Danio rerio: one gene and its partner. The protein of the gene in region 2 purifies or fractionates together with the protein of the main gene of each other region. This does not show direct contact. Links are inferred from orthologs where the notes say so. Each region holds a gene or a part of one and is shown on either strand. Other genes may lie near its edges.

Region 1 (7,612 bases), on a different chromosome or scaffold from region 2:
TCAGCACGAATGTCCACTAACTTGAGCAGTATTGGAAAAAACTACATTTTAGTGTGTTCTTTTCACACAAATGTACTCACCCTAGTAAAAACAGTGAATTATTCATAATATCAAGCAAATAATCTGTGTTTTGTCTATGGTGACAATTTACATCGTAATCCACTTTGCAAACGTCAAACCAAAATATGTCTTGAGAGAACTGGATAAATTGTGACATCATTTTAATAAAATCACATAAGTAGTGCCAGACAGATTATGCCGACATTTTTTACTATATCTGCAGAGAATTTTGTCAACAAATCTGTTCATTTATGTTCACATGCAGAATTATTTTGCAGTATCAAATCTAAAAACTTAAATATATGAAATATAAAATAATCGCTTTTTAACTTTTATTTAATAAAATTTAATGCAAATCCATCTAGACTCATTTATTTGGTCAACGAATCAATTCTTTCATGTAATATCTCTACTAAAACACAGACAATATTACTTTACAAACTGTGTTGTAAATAAATCAAATGATAACTTTAATATTAGTCAAAATCTTAGTCAAAATTACTGAAATTAATTTAAAAACTGAATAAATAAAAAATGACAAACATTTACACAAGTAAATCAATTCTCGATGGGCTAAAAATCTGTGGATTTCTGTTCTCTTTTTTCCCTGTTTCATCAACAAAAATAGTAGATTTGTCATGTAAAAATTTCTGTGTTTCACTTTTTCCTCAGGAGTCTTACCGGCAGGTGATGAAGATGAGGCCGAAGGACCTGTGGAAGAGGCTGATGGTCAAATTCAGAGGAGAGGAAGGTCTTGACTATGGTGGAGTCGCCAGGTATGTGTTTTTTTTACACTATCACAAATGTTCAAACTTTCAAAAGTGAAAGGTTCAGTCTTGAACAACAGTTCTGCTTTGCATCGGGCTGTCAATAAGCCTGTCTGGCTTTATTCTGTGATTAAAAAAGCCTTCTGGATGTATTTTATACTTTAAACTAATCCTTAAAAAAACACCCATAAACAATATGGCAACAAAACTATAAAAAAAAAAAGTGTCACTTTACTGTGCTTTTTATAACAAAGTGTATTTAAGTCCCACATTAAATAACAAAAGGACATTAAATGTGGGATAGTTATATCTTAGTTTGATTAGGCCTTTGTCTGTTTCAAGGAAAAAAATAAATATTTTCATATATAGTAGCAGATTCATTTCACCACTGACATAAATATCATTCCTGACACCATCAATTAAATGGAAAAAGCTGTCAGAATTGTGCTTAGCATGTTGAAAAACATGATCTTAAATAGCTGGAAGACCTTGTTAATCATCAAATTGTTCCTGGGTTTTTAACCTGGCTTTAAAAAAAGGCAATGTTTTGTATGCGTGTATGACTCGTTTGTTATAGATCCTAAGGCCATGCTTGATTTTGTATACAGCATTTCTATATTTTGTAATATCTTGAACAAATGCATCCTATTCAGAGAACATGCACAGTGTGCTTAATCATTGTTTGGGTACAAGTGCAGTATGTGAACAATGAATACAATGAAAAGAAAGCTGAATCACTGCATGACGATAAAAAAAATGTTTTTGCCTTCTGGATTCTCTCTTTTTGATTAGTATAAAAAATGCACAGGAACACATCTCAGATCCATTCAAATTGTTTCAAGTATTTGGTTAAATACTTAAAGCACAAATGTGTTATATGTTAAATTATACTAAAGCATGTTATCACATTGCCATATTCATAAAAAGACTTTTAATACAGTAACCTTGCATTTCACTTCTGTAATATAAAGGAGAGTCTACAAAGATGCATGTAAGATGTAAATATTTCCAATCCAAGATTGCACTTCACTTTGAAAAGAAGTTTCATGTCAATGCAGCTCTGTACAAGAAGCATGAATGAATGCAGGCAGACCTTAAGACTCCTTCTCTGGCACATATGACACTTTTGCACATCAAATTCTTGATTTTATATAAACTTAATAAAAACTTTAGCTTAATATTTACAGTGATTTGTCAATAATATGACTTCCCACAGCATTTTAATGCTTGTCAGCTATAATTTCAAGTATGGTTAAAAACAAAATGCTTCGTAACAACACAAAAGCATTTAAAAAGCCTTGTTTTAACAAAGTTCTGCATTTTTTCAGTCGATAATGGGTCCCTTTGAACTGAGCTGTTTTTTACTGGGTAAACAGTGTGTTTATTTACACTACAATTAAGAAAAGTAACCAAAGTTCTAGACAAATATAGATCATCCAGTGTCACTATTAAAGTTCTTTGAGAGTCCCGAAAAAACTCAAAGACAAAACATAATTAATAACTGTAGCTCCTAATGATACATTGAGGTCTTCAAAAGTGAAACCTGTTAACCCATAATGTTATTCATTTTCATAGTACAATCAATTCTTAATAGATTAAATCAGCTCTTGAATCATGTTCTGTTTCATTAATATAAAAGCTGAATATTCTGAAAGTTAAAATGGGTCAAAAATGTTTTGTTTCAGGCTCTTGTTTCCATCTAGTGGTAGAATAAGAGTATAACGATGTGAAATTGGGTCATGGTGGATTTATGTCTGTCAATATTTTGTGCCAATGTTTGTGCGCTTTTGTGTCATAGGGAATGGTTATACTTGCTGTCACACGAGATGTTAAATCCATACTATGGGCTGTTCCAGTATTCACGAGATGACATCTACACGCTACAGATCAACCCGGACTCGGCTGTCAATCCAGTGAGTGAAAGTGCACGAGCTTCTGAACTACACTGATAATTCTTAAGACAAGACACTGCTGAGATTTTGAGATTGGCTTTTTATAAAAATATAAAGTGTTTCTTTTATAGTACCTAATTTGTTATATCAATTTATGCTTGTGTGATTTCAATTATAAATCTCAATTACAGTTATAACTCTGCTAACTCTAACTCTGCCTTTGAGTTGCAAAGGCCATTTCTTGTTTCTAGTCTAAATATCTACATTTAATAGCAAAAACAATAGTATTAACTTACCCCACTGGCAGATACTTTCCTTAAAACAAGCAAAATCAGTGAAAACTAAACAATATTTTACTTGGTCTAAGAATTTTTTGATTTTTGGACTAGAAACAAGACAAAACAAAGTAAGAAAGGCATTTTTTGCATTGTGATTTATTCCATTTCTGTGCGCAAATCCCCAGAAAACCATCTAATAGTGCTATTCAAACCATCATCTGAAACCGTATTTATATTGCAATATTTATTGCAGAAAAATAAAATATCACAATATCAGATTTTTTCCAATATCGTGCAGCTGTCTAGAATGCAAGCGCTTTACAAAATTCACATGTTTTTATGTTTGTTTTATAGGAGCATTTGTCTTATTTCCACTTTGTGGGGAGGATTATGGGAATGGCTGTTTTCCATGGTCACTATATAGACGGGGGCTTCACTCTGCCCTTCTACAAGCAGTTGCTAGGCAAACCTATCACTCTGGATGACATGGAGTCAGTGGATCCGGACTTGCACAACAGCCTCGTCTGGATCCTGTCAGTGTGCTTAACATATCCATCTATTGCATGCATGATGAATTCTTTGATATGTAGTATTATTAGTAGTAATTACTAATAGACTAGTAATATAGTATGAGTATTTTACCAATAATATCATTAAATTTAATATAAAAAATTAATAAAACATTTAGAGTATATAAATCTCGCATAAGTGTCTTTCCAAAAACAAAGGTATTGTAGTTAACTAAAATAGAAGGATTAATTTGATGTAATGTTGTTATTATACACTCTCAGAAATAAAGGTACCCGAGCTGTCACTTGTGTGGTACCTTTTCTAAAGTTACAAACTTTTAAGTAAAAAGCCCATATTAATACCTCAAGGGTACATCTTATTAATGTAAATTATGTTAGTAAATAAACCAAACCAAAATGCATACATAAAAGAGAGTGGGGGTAAAGAGTATGGGGGGGAGGTTGCCTATATCATAGCCATAATTATTATTTTGTCTAATTGCATATATCATTAAATGGGGGTGTCACGATGGTGCAGTGGATAGCACGATCACCTCACAGCAAGAAGGTCACTGGTTCGAGCTTTGGCTGGGTCAGTTGCCATTTCTGTGTGGAGTTTGCATGTTCTCCTTGTGACCACGTGGGTTTCCTCCGGATGCTCCGGTTTCCCCCGCAGTCCAAAGATAGTTTATGAGTGCGTATGGATGTTTCCCAGTGATGGGTTGCAGCTGGAAAGACTGCGTAAAACATATGTTGGCGCTGTGTCAACCCCAGATAAATAAAGAAAGTTAATAAGAATAAATTATTAAAATTAATTAAATTTCAAGCGAGAGACTTTATTACATTTCAACCAGTTGCAAAAGGCATGTTTTATCGGCTAATTTTAAAATAAAATAACTAAATCTAAAACATATCAATTTACTTCTAAAACTAAAGGGTGTTTTAAAATAAGCTGTTAAAACATTTAAATGGCAAACAGAAAGAAATAACATTTTTTATAGAAAATACTGTAGTTATTAGATGATCCTAAAATGCAGTTATGAATTCCAGGTTGCTTTATACGAAAATGTAATTATCTAAATATTAAATCCAGTGGCAAATAAGGGATAAAAACACATAACAGATATATGTACATATAGGGATTTTCCGATCAGGTTTTTTTGCCCTCGAGTCCGAGTCATTTGATTTCGTGTCTACCGATACTGAAACCCGATCTAATACTTCAATGAAAAATAAAAAAGAATAAAGAAGAGCAAAGAAACAGATCCAGGATGTTCCTTTTTTGTAATTAACCTTATTTTGACATTCAACAAATCTGTTAACAAATAGAGCACTTCTGTGAAGTAGCTTGAACAATCAATTAATTAATAACATCAATTCTTCACTTTTGGACTTTAGTGCAACAGTAAATATAAAACAAAAACTAATATAAAACAAATAGCATCTCATTCTAAAATACCCAGAAGACAGTTCCAAGTTTACATATCTCACAGTTTTCTATAGCAATGTTGTCTTCATCAACTTTATAATACCTCCAGACCGCAGACATACTCGCGCTTTGCGCTTCAAGTATGTTCTACTTTGCTGACATTTAACCAATAGCGTCTCTGTAACAAAGTAATGTCATGCTGCACGCGTTGCTGTCAAGGAAGAGGTCTAACTCTGTGCCACCGCATAAACTATAGATGTGTTAAAAAATAATGAGAATTAACGTCTGAAAGCGTGTGATCTACCCCAAATTTTCCAATTACGTGATCGGATCTGGACATCCCTATGTACATACATAGAAAATTATGCAAATGATATAGTATATTTTAATCACTTTAATATACATACATGAATATATAATTGTGTGTGCACTATTAATAGTAATTATTTTTCCTCTATCTGTTTTTGTGTTCAGAGATAATGACATCACCGGGGTGTTGGACCACACGTTCTGCGTTGAACACAATGCATATGGAGAGATCATTCAGCATGAGCTCAAACCCAATGGCAAGAGCATTCCAGTCACGCAGGACACCAAGAAGGAGTATGTGAGGTAAGATATTCACACCTGTCAACCTCTCAGTCCTGCTTTTCTGATGCTTGTCTGTGGGTGTCATCAAATGTCCTGTTTCTGCGCAGGCTGTATGTGAACTGGCGGTTCCTGAGGGGCATCGAGGCTCAGTTCCTGGCCCTGCAGAAAGGCTTCAACGAAGTCATTCCACAACACCTGCTCAAAGCGTTTGATGAGAAAGAACTGGAGGTATAAAAACACCAATCCTTTATAAATGTATGTTCAATAGGTGTTGGGCTGTGTCAGTGAGAGCCGTAGCTTACGGAATCGGGCCAATGGCTTCAGAGCTCAAACTCTAAGGCAAAACTCATGTTGCATTTCTACTGTCAGACCAGTAACCCTGCTCTAAACCCTGAACAAGGCTCCTGAAGAAACGGTATTCAACAAAATTTAAAAAAGCAGTCATGATAGACTATTCTTACACTAACATTTGACCAGAAATTGAATAAACTTTCTTTATTTTTTTTTAAGTATTCAAACACATTGTCAAGTTTTAGTCCAACAAACACAACAATTAACAATAAAAGATGTAATATACCAACAGTACATAAGGAAGTAAAAAATGATATATAAATACATGTAAATATTTTTATTGAACATTTTTGATTTCAAACAAAGCCCAAGATTTAACCAAAAAAAAAAGTAAAATAAAATAAAAATAGTAATACTGCAATAATAGGTATAAAATCATGATTCAAACATATCTGATACATTCTCTTTCATATTTAACCAAAATTGTACAGTTTGGCTGCTGTTCATTCTGCTGTGGCGACCCCAGATTAATAAAGGGACCAAGCCGAAAAGGAAATTAATGTACAGTTTGGCACCATTTATTTTGCCTGTGGTGTATTCCAAACTAATAAAGTCCATTAGATAGAGCCTCGAGGTTAGATCAGCCGGAGCAGATGGATCCAGCCATATTTTTAGGATTTTTTTTTTTTTTGCTGCAGTCAGAACAACATCCTTCTTTGTGTCATAAGAGAGTCGCTGACAACAACAAAGTGCAGATCCAAATGCAGGTTTATTAAGAATAGTCAGACAAGCAACGGTCAACACAGGGGTAGACCGATGTATATAGGCAATCCAGACTCAAGGTCAGTCAACAGGCAGATTGTCAAAAGGCAGGCAGCAGACAATGTAAAGAAACAAACAAGGCGAGGGTCTCAACACAACAAGGCAAGGAAAACGTGTCGTAGTGTTAACTTCACAGATAAACAAGGCTCAGTAAGGAGTGTGTCAAAATGAGCTGATATAAATGTGCATGTAATCAGTACTTGAGCAGCATCAGCTGTATAAGTGTAATCAATGGAGACTTGAAGCAGGTGTGTGTGTGTATGTTGTGTGTATGTTGCATGACAATATTGACAGGGTTTTAGTCCGTGTAAATGTGAATGTTCTCAAGCGATTTATGAAGGTTAGATCGCTGATGATCATGACACTTTTGTTGATGGATAAGGAGAGTGATGAATCGTCCAGCATGTGAAAATGCAATGGGTTATATTGGATCTAAGTTTCCATTAGATCTGATGGTAGGTCTCGTACTTTGGACCAGAATAATGCAATTTGGGGACATTCTCTGAACATATGTAAATAGGTAGCTAGTGTAGAGTTGTTTCATAAGTGACAAAAAGGGTCTGATTTTCTTTTCACTTGAATTAACAGGTAAGGGGTAGCATAAGGCTTAAACATTAATTCATAATGAATCATTTGGTGAACTGGTTTTTTGAAGTTACAAAACAGTTCTCCCAGACAAAATCCTGATCAATAACTATATTGAGTTCTCTCTTCCAGAAGCCCTCAATTATCATATTTAAATAGTGTGATACTATAAGTGATGTATAAAGTGTATTTACTCTACCTCTACAGTCCAAACTGTAATCTGTCTAGTCTATCAAAGGGTGAGGGTAGTATTTTTTTAAATAAATAATAAAATGAAAAATAAATAAAAACTAATAAATAAATGCTGGCCTTTATTTTTAATATAACTTAGTATAATCCTCTTCAATTTAAATATTTCCTGTATAACTTAAAAAAAATCTATAAAGGT
Region 2 (7,612 bases):
TGTTTATACGTTCTGCTACGATTATGAGTGTTGCAGCTCTCATTGCTTTTAGACATTCCCCTATGGTCTATTTTTTTCTCTTGCATTATTTATAGTACTCTGTTTATATGGTGATATGTTGGAATAGTATGTGCATGTGCTGTACTGCATATCTGAGATCTATCTATCTATCTATCTATCTATCTATCTATCTATCTATCTATCTATCTATCTATCTATCTATCTATCTATCTATCTATCTATCTATCTATCTATCTATCTATCTATCTATCTACCTATCTATCTATCTATCTATCTATCTATCTATCTATCGTTCTATCGTTCTATCGTTCTATCTATCGTTCTATCTATCTATCGTTCTATCTATCTATCGTTCTATCTATCTATCGTTCTATCTATCTATCGTTCTATCTATCTATCTATCTATCTATCTATCTATCTATCTATCTATCTATCTATCTATCTATCTATCTATCGTTCTATCTATCGTTCTATCTATCTATCTATCTATCTATCTATCTATCTATCTATCTATCTATCTATCTATCTATCTATCTATCTATCTATCTATCTATTGTTCTATCGTTCTATCTATCTATCTATCTATCTATCTATCTATCTATCTATCTATCTATCTATCTATCTATCTATCTATCTATCTATCTATCTATCTATCTATCGTTCTATCGTTCTATCGTTCTATCTGTCGTTCTATCCATTGTTCTGTAATTCTATACTATTGTTCTATCTTTTTATGTCTGTCTGTCTATTGTTCTATCTATGTATTTATCTATTATTCTATCTATTGTTCCAATTATCTGTCTGTCTGTCTGTCTGTCTATGTGTGTCTGTCTGTCTGTCTGTCTATGTGTATCTGTCTATTAATTTATCTATCTATCATTCTATAATTCTATCTATTATTATGTCTGTCTGTCTGTCTATCATTCTATCTATTGTTCTGTCATTGTATCTTTCTATCTTGTTATATCGTTTTATCTGTTTATCCATTGATCCATCCATCCATCCATCCATCCATCTATCTATTGTTCTGTAATTCTATCTATTGTTCTATCGTTTTGTCTGTCTGTCTGTTTGTCTGTGTCTGTCTATCTATTGTTCTATCTATCATTCTGTATGTCTATGTATCTATTTATCTATCTATCATTCTATCTATTGTTCTGTCATTCTATCTTTTTATCTTGTTATATCGTTTTATTTATCTTTCTATCTATCGTTCTATCTTTTGTTCTGTTGTTCTATTAATTGTTCTGTTGTTTTGTCTGTCTGTCTGTCTGTCTGTCTGTCTGTCTGTCTGTCTGTCTGTCTGTCTGTCTGTCTAAGAAGCAGTTCCTTTTCAGGTATACATATGCAGGAATAAATTTTGCATATGCTTTGGAATACACAGCAAGCATTGATCTGCAGTATAATGAAAAAGCTGTTGTATTACATAACAGCCATTTACTGTTGACTTTTTTAAATTTGAATATTAACAAACTCAATTAAAACAATTAGATTTAAGCCAATACTATTCAATACTACTATCGACCTGCTGCCAAAAAAAAGAGTAAAGAATTGCATTGCTCCCATTACTGGTTTTATGGCTGGCTAATGTTACACGAGTAAATGTGTTGTGTAGATTCATTTTGAAAGTTTCTTGTTGCTGCTAATTGCAATCATTTTGACTTCTTTCTTTTTTTTTTTAAATCAGATTCTTGAACGAACCCTCGAGCCAGACAGCTCAGATGAAGAGCCACCACCTGTCTATTCACCACCAACATATGACATGCATATATATGACCGGAAATACCCTGAAGCTCCTCCTGTTCCTCCACCCAGGTAAAAAGAAATGTTATTTACTTATATTTATTTCCACCTCCAACAAAAAGGGACTTTAAAATGATCCAGACTCAGAAAAGCAGATGGGGTCTCCTTTAGTCACAGTTCTGTAATTGATGCCCCCTGGTGTTCAAAAAACAAACAGCAATTCCCGTTAAGCCTTGTTTTTGTGGTGTAATCACCATTAAGCATGTAATTCTATTTATCCATGAATGTAATACTCATGAATGCACGAGTACTGAAAGGGTCACACACGTTGTAGCAGCTGTAATTGAATTATGACGATTGTGAAATTTGAGAGCTGCACTGAAAAAAAATTATTCAAAGATGATTCCTTGGATTTACTTTTTTTTTTTTACATTAAGTGGTTGTAAACAATTTATTTTGGCTGAATTTAAACAAAAAATTAAGTTAAAAATTACTACATGTAATTTGTTTGTTTTAATTCAACAAATAAAAATTGTTTACAACAATTTTGCAGAAATCATTTTTTTCAATGTGCTAATAAAATGAGGGTCAGTGACACTGGGCTCTGTTATCTTGCAGATTTGAGGCCCAGCCTCCCCCTGGACACAGGCAAGTACAAGGTTACAAAAACTGGAACCCACCATTACTTGGCAATCTGCCTGATGACTTCCTGCGAATCCTGCCTCAACAGTTAGACAGTATACAGGTGAGCATTAATGGAAGTGAAACCCGTTTGAAGAAAATCACTGTATTTTTTTCTGCAAAATTGTGTGAAATTATTTTTATAATCCAACATCATCTATAGTGTCACTAAACATATTTTATTAAAAGGTCCTGTGCAATTAAAATAAAGATTTTTTTAGATGTTAGTATCAGTATGTAGTTTTAAGGCTATCTGAAAGCTGGTGTACTCCAAAACAGTGACAAATTTTACATTTAGAATATATGAACCTCATATAAACATCCAAAGCTTGCATTTTGTCACTTCCACCTAAATGAATCAACTTTTTGAGTTGTTTTGACATGACCTCATACTTCAGTTTCTCATCAAATCTTCTGACCAATCGAATGCTCTACAGTATCTGACATGTCCTGCCCCCTTCAAGACACTTTCATTTGATGCACATGATCTCAACCTCTTTCACTGACAGAGCGATGATAAAATCAAAAAGCTATTAGCTGTTTTAGCCATCTCTTCATGTTTGAGTTGTGATTACATCAGATTTCAAATAAATAAATAAATGCATGTTTCAAAGCACTTCACAGAAGTTTTAAGTTCTTTTAAACTTTCTAATAATCATGACAATGCTTGGTGCCAAAACTTTTTTGCCTTTTGATTTTGCTCAAGCTCTTTTGCTATTCAATGATATTAAAGAGCTGTGAATGGTTCAGAAACATCATTAGAGGTCATTAAAACTTGCTAATGCAGTAAAGAGGTGCAGCAGGGAGACCAATGAGCATTTGCTTTTAAGCTCTTATTCCATTTCTTGCTTTCTGAATGGCTTTATCAACTTTAATGACATTCTTGTTCCGTTGTACAGATGCAGTCATCTTGCATATGATGAGCATTCAAATACAAATCAAATGTTTTTCTGTTCACTATGTAGCCGTGACTTTCTAATAGTATTAAAGTAGTCTAGGTTATATTGTAAAAAAAATAAATAAGGCATATTTTCATTCCAATAAAAAGATATTTTTAGTCACCTCCGGACCATCTAGGTGTAGGTTTTAACTTTTTTTTTTAACATTAAAGTAGATTTTTAGCTGAAATTGTCATAAGATGCAAGTCAATAGATACCAGCACTTTAAGAGTTAAAAACAGCTTGTTAACATGACCAATTATATCCTGCCAATCAGAGAGATGGGAAAATGCATGGTAATTGAGCTTTGTGTAAGATTAAAATGGCATGTGTTCATTTTTTTAAATAATAAAAAGGCTGTTTAAATGATATAGTATTTCATTCATTCATTTTCCTTCGGCTTAGTTCCTTTATTCGTCAGGGGTCGCCACAGTGGAATGAACCGCCAACTTATCCAGCATCCATGTTTTACACAGCGGATGCCAGTACTGGGAAACAATCATACACACTCCCGTTTACACACACTTACACTACAGTCAATTTAGTTTATTCAATTCACTTATACTGCATGTCTGGACTGTGGGGGAAACCGGAATTACACTCATTACTAAGCCAAACTGACATGCTATTTCAGAGCGAATATTTAGAGTTGCATGGTAAACAATATAGGGAGAGACTAGGCGGAATAGCGGTATTTACTTGTGTTTTGTTGTTAAACTAATTAAAATCTACATTATCTATGCTGTAAAAGGTCCCTTATCAAACTGAAAATAGTCTTATCAATCTTTCATCGGAAGATTTTAGTGGCTGAAAAACTTCTGTGAAGATGTAACCCATTTGTGACAACAACATCTAGCGTTACATCAGCTTTGCGTGAAGCTAAAACAGTTTTAAAACAGAACATTACCTGTCTAAAAGAAATCCTTCAGCCATGGTGTCATCCTTTCTCCAGGGTGCAAAGGTAACTCCAATACTGATTCAGGTTTTTAAAAAGTTTTGATTCAGCAGGTTTTTACCGATCTCGCATGCTCTCTCTCCCTCTCACATGAATGCACAACACAAACAGCAATCGGCGGAGATGCGTACAAACGTCTGCGCAGTTGTTCAAATCTGCATTTGCTGACAGAATTATGAGAGATGTCGGCCCGACTCTATTTAATTTGATGAACATTTTTTAGTTTTATGCCTTAACCAAAATATAAAAACCCTTATAAATACATTTAGATCATTTACTTTAATCATTACTATTAGACTGTGAAGAGACTTTCAACCAGCACAACAAAAAATGCTTCTGAAGACAATCACCTACTGCATCTTTAATGGTGCTTTAAAAAGTCCTTGAATCTGCTGTTCATAAAAGTGGAAACCCTTTTTGATATATTATGTCTTTGATGAATGAATCATTTAATTAAACTGGGTTTTTTACTTGAGCTATCTAAAAAAATAATCTCATTGCAGTAGACAACTTTCTTAAAATATTTTATGTTTATGTACAACATCCTGACTATGAGGATCCGACCAAGCCTGGTTGTTAAGTTTGATAGGTTTTTCAAGTTGTTGAATTTTGTATGAGAGTAATTTTTACTCTCTTCAATATTTTGCAGGGCTCTCAGAGTAGCACCTCTAACCCTTCCTCCTCCACCTCCTCCTCGTCCACCACAATAGCCCAGAAAGTGGTGGCTGCAGCGGGAACAGCCGCCGGGGCTTCAGAGCAGGAGCGCAAACTAAAGCAATATTTGGAAGATGAACGTATTGCTCTCTTCCTGCAAAACGAAGAGTTCATGAAGGAGCTGCAGAGGAACCGTGAGTTCCTTATTGCGTTGGAAAGAGGTAGGAAGACTCTCGCCCACACACTAAACCAGACAATGAGCACTTTCTGACATACTCCACTTCCCCATCCTTTCACAGATCCACCTCCACAAAGTCAGTTCTTATGCTAATTTCGTAGACACTGACTGTTTTGGTTTTTCCTCACACAGCGAGATATTGTTATACTTTGTCATACACACTAATTATTTGATATGAATAGTCATCGAGACGTTCATATCCTATTTAAATGAAGAAGGTATAGTTTTCTTACCATAACACCTGCCTTCTGTGTTTTAGATCGATTGAAATACGAGTCAAAGAAATCCAAATCCAGTCATTCATCAGCTAGCATGGAGAACTCCTCAGGTAGATATCATTCACTGTGTCTGTGCATGTTGGCGTGTCTGTGCATATGCATTATTTTCCCTTTTTAACACTTCTAAGCACCCCTATTTGAGCCTTTCATATGGAAATGTTTTAGTTTGTCCACAATAGTATTCTCAAAGGTTTTTTTCCACACTGAGGGCAAGTTTATTTGATAAGAGTGTATTTAAAAAAAGAAATGTTTTCCTTTACCTCTTCGGGAAAAAAAACATAATGATAACAATATTGTGAAAAGGATCCATGTACTCTTAGATTCTCAAAACCAATCTGATGGGATGTTTATCAATTACTTCTACAGGCCTTCAGAATGAAACTATAATGCCAAGTTCACACTGCATGATTTTAGCCAGCTTTCACTCGCTGGCGGTTTTGTGAAGTTGCCAGCAAATTTCTGAAATCTGAGGCAGTTCAACTTATTAAGAGTCATGCAGCGTGAATTATCAAAGACATGATCAGAGAGAATTCATGAAATATTTTGCATGCTAAATATCTGGACCTGTCTTTGAGTCAAAATCGTCCAATGTGAAAAGAGTTCTCACTGAAAAATACATTGGCCAGACAGAATAGACAGACTTTTTTGTTGTTTCTGTGCAGAAAATTATAGTAAAAGAGCTGAGATCTTAAAAAATACAATTTATAAAACATTTACATGGGTAATGAAAGTCATAATAGCTCTCTCATATAATACATCCTCTAAAAAGCATTGGAAATACAGCTTTACAAGTTGTATTTGTACCTAAATTGTTGAAATATTTGCATATTATTTAATAATAGATATAAAATGTGTATAAAAACTGAATGGATATGTAGTTACACACATTTACATAAATACAATTTAAAACTGATACTTGGGTAAACATAGCCATAGCTGTCCCATAGATATAATACATCCACTAAAAGGCATTGAAGATACTGCTTTACAAGTTATATTTGCACCTAAATCATCTAAATAGTTGCATATTATTTTATAATAGTAATAAATTGTATGTAAAAGCTGAATAAAATGTATTTACACACATTTACATAAATAGAATTTAAAAATGTTGAATGGAAGATGGTTTGGTCTCTAGCCAATAAGCTTTCAGTTTGCAACAGGGCCAGAGCCGTTCAACTCAGAATCCTTCATAGAATTCATATCACAACTAAATTAAGACATAAATTCAATGCAACCCACTCACCTCTATGCGTTAAATGCAAATCAAATATCGGGGATTATATTCATTGCAAATGGGACTGTCAGGTTTTTCAGTCCTATTGGTGCAGAATCATAACCCAAATAAACAACATTTTTGGTCTGGACCATTTAAAATTTTGAATTGGGTAAACACATATACATATGATCATATAATTCATCCACTAAAAGGCATTGAAAATACTGCTTTACAAGTTGTATTTGTACCTAAATCATCTTAATATTTGCATATTATTTGTAAATAGTAATAAAATGTACATAAAAAAGGAATTCAAATGTGTTTACACAAATTTACATAAATACAATTTTTAAAATGTTACATGGGTAAGCATAGCCGCAGTAGCTCTCTCATATAATAAGATATCCACTAAAGGGCATTGGAAATACTGATTTACAAGTTGTGTTTGTAGAAAAATCATCTAAATATTTGCATATTTTTTAATAATAGTGATAAAATGTATATTAAAAACTGGAAAAAAAAGTGTTTACACACATTTACATAAATACAATTTTAAAAATGTTACTTGGGTAAGCATAGCCGTAGTAGCTCTCTCATATAATAAGATATCCACTAAAGGGCATTGGAAATACTGATTTACAAGTTGTGTTTGTAGAAAAATCATCTAAATATTTGCATATTACTTAATAATAGTCATAAAATGTATATAAGAACTGAAAAAAAAGTGTTTACACACATTTACTTAAATACAATTTTAAAAATGTTACTTGGGTAATCATAGCCGTAGTAGCTCTCTCATATAATAAGATATCCACTAAAAGGCATTGCAAATACTGATTTACGAGTTGTGTTTGTAGAAAAATCATCTAAATATTTGCATATTAT

Evidence for each region. The genes of interacting proteins can lie anywhere in the genome.
Region 1: the proteins of cuedc1b (region 2) and smurf2 purify together in Homo sapiens (co-immunoprecipitation; 3 studies listed by BioGRID and IntAct, with this or other methods). This does not show direct contact. The link is inferred for Danio rerio from reciprocal best matches to the Homo sapiens genes CUEDC1 and SMURF2.

The regions. Positions count from the first base shown.
Region 1 is NC_133178.1:24,031,593-24,039,204, reverse strand, and holds part of smurf2 (E3 ubiquitin-protein ligase SMURF2), read left to right. Parts: intron 1-732; coding exon 733-836; intron 837-2,625; coding exon 2,626-2,740; intron 2,741-3,351; coding exon 3,352-3,530; intron 3,531-5,409; coding exon 5,410-5,547; intron 5,548-5,633; coding exon 5,634-5,754; intron 5,755-7,612. UniProt on the Homo sapiens protein: E3 ubiquitin-protein ligase which accepts ubiquitin from an E2 ubiquitin-conjugating enzyme in the form of a thioester and then directly transfers the ubiquitin to targeted substrates.
Region 2 is NC_133190.1:33,801,370-33,808,981, reverse strand, and holds part of cuedc1b (CUE domain-containing protein 1b), read left to right. Parts: intron 1-1,708; coding exon 1,709-1,836; intron 1,837-2,382; coding exon 2,383-2,509; intron 2,510-4,987; coding exon 4,988-5,213; intron 5,214-5,489; coding exon 5,490-5,558; intron 5,559-7,612.